Callithrix jacchus: one gene and its partners. The main gene of each other region encodes a partner of the protein of the gene in region 3 in a complex. Links are inferred from orthologs where the notes say so. Each region holds a gene or a part of one and is shown on either strand. Other genes may lie near its edges.

The links. The genes of interacting proteins can lie anywhere in the genome.
Region 1: TLE6 (region 3) and KHDC3L share a complex: the UniProt entries of both Homo sapiens proteins name them as parts of the subcortical maternal complex. The link is inferred for Callithrix jacchus from reciprocal best matches to the Homo sapiens genes TLE6 and KHDC3L.
Region 2: the proteins of TLE6 (region 3) and YWHAG are in contact, whole or in part, in a cryo-EM structure (PDB 8XI3), measured with the Mus musculus proteins. The link is inferred for Callithrix jacchus from reciprocal best matches to the Homo sapiens genes TLE6 and YWHAG. Residues at the interface, in NP_444484.1 of Mus musculus: Phe137, Leu138, Ser139, Glu140, Ser141, Asp142, Leu144, Gln145, Leu295, Arg347, Asn430, Leu447, Gln470, Met472, Asn489, Asp510, Asn511, Thr512, Met530, Pro553, Arg555; in NP_061359.2 of Mus musculus: Lys50, Arg57, Arg61, Lys125, Asp129, Arg132, Tyr133, Gly174, Leu177, Asn178, Val181, Glu185, Phe201, Asp202, Ile205, Ala206, Leu208, Asp209, Glu213, Tyr216, Lys217, Thr220, Leu221, Ile222, Met223, Gln224, Leu225, Arg227, Asp228, Asn229.

Annotation. Positions count from the first base shown.
Region 1 is NC_133505.1:78,451,581-78,454,719, reverse strand, and holds KHDC3L (KH domain-containing protein 3), read right to left. Parts: upstream 1,921-3,139; 5' UTR 1,851-1,920; coding exon 1,682-1,850; exon of another isoform or gene 1,487-1,681; coding exon 1,307-1,486; exon of another isoform or gene 1,269-1,306; intron 1,026-1,268; coding exon 688-1,025; 3' UTR 512-687; downstream 1-511. UniProt on the Homo sapiens protein: Component of the subcortical maternal complex (SCMC), a multiprotein complex that plays a key role in early embryonic development.
Region 2 is NC_133503.1:11,117,741-11,121,961, reverse strand, and holds the start of YWHAG (14-3-3 protein gamma), read left to right. Parts: upstream 1-1,410; 5' UTR 1,411-1,591; coding exon 1,592-1,678; intron 1,679-4,221. UniProt on the Homo sapiens protein: Adapter protein implicated in the regulation of a large spectrum of both general and specialized signaling pathways. Binds to a large number of partners, usually by recognition of a phosphoserine or phosphothreonine motif.
Region 3 is NC_133523.1:2,770,316-2,773,509, reverse strand, and holds the end of TLE6 (transducin-like enhancer protein 6), read right to left. Parts: intron 2,626-3,194; coding exon 2,475-2,625; intron 1,790-2,474; coding exon 1,713-1,789; intron 789-1,712; coding exon 684-788; 3' UTR 507-683; downstream 1-506. UniProt on the Homo sapiens protein: Component of the subcortical maternal complex (SCMC), a multiprotein complex that plays a key role in early embryonic development.

The DNA.
Region 1 (3,139 bases), on a different chromosome or scaffold from region 3:
TGTTCTCTGCTGGGACTCTTCGCGGCCAGAGTAGCCGATGCCTGCATCTTGGTGTCCACGACCTTCGTGCAAAGTCGGTGACCCAAGCAAGACCTGACAACGGCAACAGTGGCACAGCTCGGCCCTCTCCGTTTCCCCCTTCCCCGATGTCATTTTCCCTAACTGGGAAAGTGGTCTGTGGCAGAATCGCAATACACACAGGGTATTCCAAATCCAGCTGAGCCCCAAGCGACCCGGTTTTCTCATCCCAAGTTAACCTTGAGTAGAACCAGAGCGGGCTTGGAGAGGTTTCCTAGTGGGTTAGATAGGATTCTCACCTGGGTAAACCAGATGAACGCGGTTAAGGAGCACAAGGGACACACCGAAGCGCAGCCGGGGTAGATTGCGACCTTGGGCGGCTAAGAACCCGAGGTCCCACCTGCCTCGAGGTGGAAAGCGGCGCAGGGCAGAATTGGGCTGATATAGGAATGGGCATTCCCTCCCCTCTACCTTCCAAAAAACAGACGTTAGGGAAATGCAATTCTTTATTAGAACTCAAGTTTGTGTTTGCAACCATTCAACAGAAGGGGTAAAACAAAACAATTCACATCATGATTCCCCCACCCCCAACCCCACCTTCTGAGGCTTAAGTGTATCGGGCTTCCACTTAACCCCTGACTGGCTCTGGTTCCAGGGCCTGAAATGCCTTCATAATCTAGTAACTGGGTCCCGGGCATCCACGTAAAACCGCTGGGTCCGTGCCTTGCTGGCAGCTTCGGGAGATCGCTGGGTCCCCGACTCACTGGCAGCCTTGAGGGACTGCTGGGTCCCGGCCTCCCGCACCTCCACCGGAGAACCCTGTGTCCCGACCTCCCGGACCTCCACCGAACGCTGGGTCCAGGCCTCCCGGACCTCCACCGAACGCTGGGTCCCGGCTTCCCGGACCTCCACCAAGCGCTGTGTCCCGGCTTCCCGGACTTCTATTGAAGACCGCTGGGTTTCGGCCTTCTGAGTGGCTATATCCTGGGCGAGGGCCTTTCCTGAGCCTGGAAGAAGAGCAGTGTGCAGAGGCCACAGCTGTATCCCTATATCCTCTCTAAAAAAGGACAGTCACCCATGTGGCCTACGGGAGTAGGAGCCAGGAATCCCAGAACGCAAGTTCAGTTTGGCCTTCTCGATCCGTGGCGACCAGAACCGCCCCCTCCCTCACCCACCAACCGCGGGCCGACTGGGAGGGCGAGACTGCCGCCCCAGCAGCCAGTAAAACCCAGGATCACTCCTACGGAGACAGGATTTGCTCAAAGTAGTCCTTTTCTCAACCTCGTACCTTTCGCCTGGAGCTGGCGGTGATAGTCAGCCAAGTTCACGATCATCTTGATTGTGTCCTCCTGGTAAGAAGGCCTCCCAAATATCAAGATCTCAGCCTCGCCGCTGGGGTCCAAGTGATTCACGTGAATCAGGATTTGGGACAGACCCTGGACTTGCGGGATGCGCTCTCCGCCTCTGCCTGCGCCGAGAGCAGAGAGGATGTGAGGGACGGGTAGCTCCCAGGGGCCTTGGGAGAGGAAGTTGGAAGGAGGAGACAGCCAGAGGACATTGGCTACTAGGGAGGTTTGCCCTGGAACGCGGCCAGAACATGTGGGGTGTAGGTATGGGTGCAGAAAGAAGCCGCATGAGGGTTACCCGTCCCTAGTCCACTCACCGAAGATCTTTTCCACCAGCCAAACCTCAAGGCGAACTACCTTCGGATTCTTCAGAAACTCAGAGTGGAACCAGGAGAACTGCTTGGGGAGCTGACCGAGCACCTCGAATGACATTGCTTTTGGCTGCATCAGTTGCACGAGCGTCGGAAACCGTCTGGGAGTGTCCATGCTGCCGCCCGCCCTGCAGGAGACCAGAGCACAACCGCAAACCCAAAGGACGAGCTGGAGGTAGGCGACTAGAGTTGCGCTTACAGCTGGGTCTTATTTTAAGGGCTTTTGGCCAGCCCCTCCTCTCCATCCGCTCCCTTCTCATTGGACTCCAGGCGTCGCCTCCGTCTCCTAGGGCCCTGGCTTCTTCCGAGGCCGCACAAGCGCGCTGGTTTCTGGGCTGCTCTCAGAGGGTTCCTTCTGTCAGGAACAGCCCTTCTTCAGCGCACCCGGTGGGAGAAACCGGGCTCTGGGCTCCAGGAATCCAGTGGAAAGCCGCGGGAGTCTTAAAGATGGACTCAGGAAGGCGTGGATAAGCCCAGTATTTTTCTCAGAAGAAGGAACTGATACTTGCAGAATGAATACTTCTTAGGTCTCCCAGAGCTTCTTATCCCTGGCCACTATGTTTACTTCCTCTGGCACCAGGTTTTCAGATTATTCTGTTACCTGCCTGAGACAGCTGAGTACAGGGCAGAATAAGGGTTTTTTTTTTTTGTTTTTGTTTTTTTTTAAGTTATAGGGTCTGTGTAGTGAGATTTGCATAGTAAAAAAAAAAATAAATGGATAGGAAAAAAGTTATGGGATCTGGCTTTCTTGCTGGTTTTCAACTCTGGGGAGTTAAAAAATCCTCCCTCCTTATCATCCCCAGTGGTGGGACTGTGGCGCGCTTTTAATTAATGCAGCCTTGAACCCACCCAACCACAGACAGTTCCCGTGGTTTAGATACCAGAGGAGATTCCTTGAAATTTTTTGATATTTCCATTTTTATTTTTATTTTTATTTATTTTTTGAGACGGAGTGTCACTCTCGCCCAGGCTGGAGTGCAGTGGCACCGTCTTGGTTCACTGCAACCTCTGCCGCCCAGGTTCAAGCGATTCTCCGGCCTCAGCCTCCCTAGTAGCTAAGATTGGAGGCACGAGCCATGTCGCCCGGCTAATTTTTGTATTTTTAGTAGGGACGGGGTTTCACCATGTCGGCTAGGCTGGTCTTGAACTCTTGACCTCGTGATTCACCTGCTTCAGCCCCCAAAGTGCTGGGATTACAGGCGTGAGCCACCATTTTTTGTTTCTTTGCTTTGTTTGGTTTGTTTTTTGAAATGGAGTTTCACTCTTGTCGCCCAGGCTAGAGTAAAATGCCACGATCTCGGCTCACTGCAACCACTGCCTCCTGGGTTCAAGCGATTCTCATGCCTTAAGACCCCGCCCCCAGTAGCTGGGATTACAGACGTGCACCACACGTTCGGCTAATTT
Region 2 (4,221 bases), on a different chromosome or scaffold from region 3:
TGGGATCACAGGTGTGAGCCACCGTGCTTGGCCAAAGCTTACTTCTTATTGACTTCTAGCATATTCTACATATCTTCTTGGGTAGGGATTTTTGTCTGTTTTGTTCACTACTGTACTTCATGGCTTAGAATAGGGCTTGGAACACAGTAGCTTCTCACAGATAATTGTTGAATAAAGTAAATACAATGTGCAGTCAAAACTATGGGGCCTGTAGGCATAGTCGCTCACGTCTGTAATCCCAGTGCTTTGGGAGGCCAAGGCAGGAGGATCGCTTGAGCCCAGGAGTTTGAGACCAGCCTGGGCAACAAAGCTAGACCCCTGTCTGTACAAAAACCAAAACAAAGCAAAAAAATTATGGTATCTGCAAGCTATGTGGAATATTAAGAAAGGGAAGCATATGAAAGAGAATATATCAGCATGACATCAGTATGTATGTATGTTTTGGGAGGGGAGAGAAGGCTGGACAGCCAAGCCCTAGACACAGCCCAGTTAGGCGTGGAGTAGGCTCCTGGTAGCTGAACTAAATCTTTAGTACTCCACCCTAGAGAGGAAGAAGGGGTCCTCCAGGGTCAGCCAGCAGACAGCTGCATCCTTTCTGGAAACCAACCAGTGTGGCCAGGCGGTATTTGTTTTCACCTAGTCAGACCCAAGAACCTCAAGGTGGGGTGGGGGGGTTAGCGGAAGCTCGTTGGGGGAAGAGGTGACAGTCCCCAGGGTCTGGCTGCTTAATTCAGCCATCCCGCGGGCAGGCACCACACTGTGAGTCTGGATCTGCAAGGGACGCGCCTCCTGTCTTTCCCACACCACGATCTACTAAGCGATCTCGGAAACAGGGTCTAGGACTGAGGCCCCTGACCCCTCCTCTCGTAATTTCCCGTAGAATTTGGGGCGGGGCGGTGAATCAGCACTCGCAGGTACCGATGCAGCCCTGATCCCCGCCAGGGGTCCCCAGCGGCCTCGGGATTCGAACCAATCCCACCACCCCTCCCCGTTCGTCCTCCTGTGCCTGCGCGCTACGTCCGCTGGGAGTTGTAGTATTGACCGCCCCTTTGTCCTTGGTCTTGCCAACGCCTCAGCCCAAGGCAGGTTGAACTACAATTCCCAGAGGCCCATGCGTCGGAAGCCTGGCGTGCTGAGGGCTCAAGGGGAAGGGATAAGGGGGCGTCTGGAGAAGCTGGGGCGAGGGAACTGAGGAGTGAAGCGAATAAAGGAAAGCGTGGGGGCTCAGTGGGAAAGGACAGGGTGCCCGAAAGACGCGCAGTGAGCCGAGTTGGGGAGCGGGGAGCCCCAACTGTGGCCCGGCCCGGGCGGGGCCTGGGCGGGGCTTGCGGGCGGGCGGGGACTGGCTGCGTCACGCAGCGTGGGCGGGGCCGCAGAGGGTTGTCCGTCCGTGGCACGCACAGCAGCCGCAGCCGCCTCGCGCCTGGTCCCGCGGTCGCAGCTCCAGCCGCCTACTCCGCGCAGCTGCCGCCTCAGCCGCTTGCCCTGTGGGTTGGTCCCCTCGGCCACTTGGGCTCCAGCCGCGCCCTCTAAGCCCTTCAGGCCGCCCCAGTGTCCTTCTTTTTCTCCGGCCCGACCCAGCTCCGCGACGATGGTGGACCGCGAGCAACTGGTGCAGAAAGCCCGGCTGGCCGAGCAGGCGGAGCGCTACGACGACATGGCCGCGGCCATGAAGAACGTGAGTGTCTCCTCCCCTCCCCCGCCACTCCCTGCCCCTCCGGAGACGCGGTCCTCGGCGTGGAAGGCCCAGGGCTTCATCGCCTTGTCGCGATGGCGGGGTGACTGCACCGTTTCGCTCACTGAGGGGCCCTGGGGAGGGTCCCGAGAGGCGACGGGAACCCTGGCTGTGACGCGGCCTCTGCTGGCGTTCCCGGGGCCCCGCGGCTCTGCCTCTCAGGCCCTGCGCGGGCGCGGGCCGGGGCGGGGTCCTGCGGGCCTGGACTTGGGAGCGGGTTCTCCGGCCCCCGCGGCTCTGGGGGTGCAGGGGACCCTAGCGGGGAGCCGTGCGCATCCTTTGTGCCCCACTTCCCCCCTCCTCCCAGCCTGGGCGTGGGGGCGGGGGACCGCATGGATGCGGTTCCTCTTTCTCTCCCTGGTGTCTGGGCGGCGCCTTTCCCATTCACTCAGCAGGTCTCCCGGTTTTCCGCCTCCCGAGCCCCCCCAAAATCTTCCCCACCGTCTCTCCCGACAGATCCCTGAGAACCTTCCCAGGAACATCGTGTAGGGGGGTCTCTTGAAAACCTGAGCCCTGTGGTGCAAAATCGAAACCACCTTGCTCTCGTTTTTCTTAACAAAAGGCTCCTCTTTCTCCATTCCCCCAAAGCGAGTCCTCCGGCTTTTAGGAAGGGGGAACGTTTATCTCGCTAGCGTTTTCATTGATCGTTCTCAACATGTCATCTCCATCTTATCCCCTAATGTTTTTGTTTTGAAAAGGGTAGGTGTTGCCTCCAAAATAAAAGGTGGCGAATGTAGCTGACTGGTTCGATCTGTGACATAAGCCGTTTCTTTTTTGCATACAGGCACGCGTCTGTTGAAATTCCTATAAGTTGGGGGGAAATATTCTGTCTGATCTGATACTGCAAACAAAGCGGTGGTGAGAGGCAGTGTCAAGTCGTTCCAGAAGATTCTGCATTTGTCATATTGCAGAGAGCCTAGACTGGGTGGAGGCTGGGAGGAGTTATTTTAAAGGGGAAAAAGTCCTTTAAAAATGTTTTTGTTGTTAGATGCCTCTGAGGCTTTTTTTTTAAGCGAGTCCATCTTCCTGCCGATGAAGAGAATCCTGATCCCCAGTTGTCGCATTTTGTCTGGGTCGCAGATTCCTCCCTGGATTGCACCATTTTGTCAGTAATGTCACATTTATCTAATGGGCTGTCAACCAGTTTGATACTAGAGGAGGGGGAAGTATTGAACTTTAGGAAATGAAAGGTTGAAAATTAATTAATCTAATTAATGATTTCTGAGCCCCACTATCTTAATATTTAACTTCCTGCCTTATGTAACAAAGGTTTTCAAATACATCTCCATTGTGAAGTGGATGCTGAAGTGTATGTACCTTGCATGTTACAGCTTTTAAATGAAGCATTATTGATATTACAGGTCAATTCTTGAATAACTTAACCGGTTCTCAGAAGAGGAGAGTGCTGATACCTTTATATTTAAACCAGCCATATTCACAAAGAAAGGTTGTTATTTTATTAAAGAAGAGAATTGGTTCTGAAATTGGGGGTACTGCTGTGGTCACAGTCTCTGTCTTCTAAAGTTTTAATGCTCGAGTGATGTAAGTTGCACTGCTAATAGGTATCAGTATTGGAAATATCTTCAGTTCGTGTTATTTAGACTCTTCTAATTTTTCCATATTTCTAGTTCCACAGGAAAGCGAGTGACCTCGCACCTATATCCATAGCAACCAAGTGATGTCACACAATGACACAGAGGCTGCAATGCACCTAAGGGCTGATAGGGAGTGTGCAAATGGCATTTGTCCAAGGTAATGCAGAAATTAGCCGATAAGCCAGGTGGAATCCAGCTCTTCATATTCCACCAGATAAGAATTAGTCCAAAAAATAAGGATTTCATTTACCCTTAGACATGCAGATCTGTGACCTCTAGCTAGGCCTTGTTCCCCCTATTGCTGGCTTTTTCACAGAAGTTTATAAGATGCTTTTTTATATTTTTAAACATTCATCTCACTTATTTAGAATACTGGGCAGTGATAGAATAAAAGTAGAAATTTTAAGCAAGAATATATTTTATGATAACTGTGCAGAGATGGGATGTATCCTTGAGTTTTTTTGCAGATAATTTGGCAGATTTTAATAAAAACCTTAAAAAATGACTTCCTACTGAGTCGTTTTCAGTTGCTATTAGGGAATGAGAACCCGTTACAAAGCCTTTTAAGTCAAGGTTTGGGAAGTTTGTTTGTTTCTAGATTTGTGCTTCTCCTTTCCAGTATGCAGGAAAGAACAGTCTGTAAAATAAAAACCTTTTTTCAAATCTGCTTCCTGTGACTTTAAGGAAATAGTCTCTGTACCTCATTTTCCTCATCTGTAAAATGGGACAGTACTTGAAAAAGCTGTGCGGATTCGATAAGAAATGTAGTAGGTGTTCCAAAATGGCAACTACCTGAGACATTTTCTTCCTGTTTATAAAAGTCATCATGGAGAATTTTGGAAAGTGCAGAGAAAGAATCCAGTCTTTCCATTCAAGTGAGCTCTCCTTCAA
Region 3 (3,194 bases):
TTTAGTAGAGACGGGGTTTCACCATGTTGACCAGGATGGTCTCGATCTCTTGACCTCGTGATCCACCCGCCTCGGCCTCCCAAAGTGCTGGGATTACAGGCTTGAGCCACCGCGCCCAGCTAATTTTTTGTATTTTTAGTACACACGGGGTTTCACCGTGTTTCCCAGGCCAGTCTCTAACACCCGACCTCAAATGATCTGTCTGCCTCGCCCTCCCAAAGTGCTGGGATTACAGGTGTCAGCCACCGTGCCCAGCATCTAAAAAGATTAGATCAGCCGGGCGTGGTGCGCACATCTGCCGTCTCAGCTCCTCCAGAGGGTGAGGCAGGAGGATGGAGAGGACGGTGGCGTCACTCCAGCCTTCGCGACAGATCCTGGAAGGAAAAAAAAAAAAAAAAAAGGCTAAGAGCCACCAGGCTGGATAAAGTCCTTCCAATTTTCCACAAAACGAGCAGGGACGGGATGGGGAGGCCCCTTCCCCTTCAGAGGACAGGCCGCATCCGCTCTGCTTTTCCTGGATGCTTTATTACGTGTGATGGCAATGAGCCAGCTCACCACAGAGGGGGGTTTTCAACACGGTAGAAGACCCTTCCCCACCTCCCTCCACCACGACCACCGGGTTGGGGGAAGAAAAAGGCGGGGGACAGAAAGGAGTGCAGTCCGATGACGGCAGCCAAGGCCCCTCAGTAGGTCATCTGGTACACGGCGGCGTGCTCACTGAAGCCGGTGACAACGAGGCGGTTGTTGGACGAGATGTCACAGCACAGGATCGGGGACGTCTCGGGTACCTAAGGGGGAACCGTAGGCACTGAGCTGGGGAAGGGCTCACGCACCCCTGGTCTTTACCCGTCAGCTCTAGCATGAGGCATGGGCTCTTCCAAGAAGACAAGACAGGGTCTTGCTCCGTTGCCCAGGCTGGAGGGCAATGGTGGGATCTCAGCTCACTGCAACCTCCGCCTCCCGGGTTCAAGCGATTCTCCTGCCTCAGCCTCCCGCGTCGCTGGGACCACAGGTCTCCTCCACCCACGCCAGGCTGATTTTTTATATTTTAATAGAGACGGGGTTTCATCGTGTTGCTCAGGCTGGTCTTGAACTCATGGGCTCAGGCAATTCCGCCTGCCTCGGCCTCCCAAAGTGCTGGGATTACAGGCGTGAGCCACCCTGACCGGCCTTTTCTGAGTTTTTGTTGAGATGGGGTCTCACTGTGTTGGGCAGGCTGGTCTTGAAATCCTAACTGAAAGGGATCTTCCTGCCTCAGCCTCCCAAAGTGCTGGGATTATAGGTGTGAGCTGTCATGCCTGGGTAATTTTTTTTTTTTTTTTTTTGAGAGTCTGGCTCTGTCACCAGGCTGGAGTGCAGTGGCACAATCTTGGCTCACGGCAACCTCTGCCTCCTGGGTTCAAGCGATTCTTCCGCCTCAGCCTCCCAAGTAGCTGAGACCACAGGTGTGTACCACCACGCCTGGCTAATTTTTTTTGTATTTTTAGTAGACATGGGGTTTCACCATGTTGGCCAGGATAGTCTTGATCTCTTGACCTCATGATCTGCCTGCCTCAGCCTCCCAAACTGCTGGGATTATAGGGGTGAGCCACCGAGCCTGGCCTAATTTTTAATTTTTTCTTTGTACAGACAGGGTCTTGCTGTGTTGCCCAGGCTGGAAACATGGTTTTGGGGCCACCCCAAGGTCCCACCCCCAGCTCACCCCACAGTACCTGGAACACGTTTGTCCCCACTGGCATGCTGTGGATGCTGAGCAAGCCGTCCATCCCCACGCTCGCCCACCACTGGCCTGGGAGGAACAAGGGTGGTGGGAGCACCAGGTGGGGGAGGGGCAGGGCCCAGACACCCACCCCCTTCCCTCCCTTGTCCCCCTGGAGGAACAGCCCCAAAATTGGCTTCTGCTATGGAACAGCTGCTGTTTGATTGTTCGGGGGGTGGGGGATGAGGCATAGTTTTGGTCTTGTGGCCCTGGCTGGAGTGCAATGGCGTGATCTCGGCTCACTGCAACCTCCAGCTCCTGGGTTCAAGCGATTCCCCTGCCTCAGCCTCCCGAGTAGCTGCAGAGATACCAGGATACTGGCCTGGTGCAGTATTGGAATAGTGTTTTTTTTTTTTGGGCGGCGGGGGAAGACAGTTTTGTTCTTGTTGCCCAGGCTGGAGTGCAATGGTGTGATCTCAGCTCCTGAGTACCTGGGATTATAGGCACGTGCCTCCACACCTGGCTAATTTTTGTATTTTCAGTAGAGACGGGGTTTCTCCATGTTGGTCAGGCCGGTCTCGAACTCCTGACCTCAGGTGATCCGCCCGCCTCGGCCTCCCAAAGTGCTGGGATCACAGGTGCGAGCCACCACGCCCGGCCTCCAGAAAGGTTTTGAGGTACCCTAGAGGGTTGGGTGGGGAGCTGGCATTGGATGGGGTCCTGTGGGAGGCTGGGGGCTGCGGGGGAGACCCCCCTCCTTCCGCCGGCTACTTACCGAAGGGGGAGAACTTGACGCTCAGGATGATGCCGTCTCTCTGCCCCACCAGCTGCCGCCGGCTGTCACTGGTGCTCTGTAGCCACTGCTGGCCGTTGGCCATGCCCAGCAGCAGCCAGTCCTCTTGGGGACTGTGGGACAGGCTCATTATCTGGGCAATGAAAGGGCAGTGGGGAGGGAGGAAGCTGGTTAGGTCCCAGCCTGGCCCAAAAGGCAGGCAGGAGACTGGGGTCCTATCCTGGAGGCTGAGTGCCTGACCCCTTCCTAGCTGCCCAGCCCTGGCCCAAGTCATTTCGTGTCTGTGCCTCAGTTTGTTGGTCTGTAATATGAGCACAGTCTTCCCTACTTCTGCACCCAATATAGCATTTAAGCTTTTTTTTTTTTTAAGAAAACAGTCTCGCTCTGTCACCAGGCTGGAGCGCAGTGGCGTGATCTCGACTTACAGCAACCTCCACCTCCTCGGTTCAAGCGATTATCCTGCCTCAGTCTCCCCAGTAGCTGGGATTACAGGCGTGAGCCACTGCACCTGGCCAAGTGTTTCTTATTTAAACAGCAAATTTTTTTTGTTTTTTTTCTGAGATGGAGTCACGCTCAGTCATCCAGGCTGGAGTGCAGGGGCACGATCTCGGCTCAATGCACCCTCCACCTTCCCGTTTAAAGTGATTCTCCTGCCTCAGCCTCCTGAGTAGCTGGGACTACAGGTGCCGCCACCACACCCAG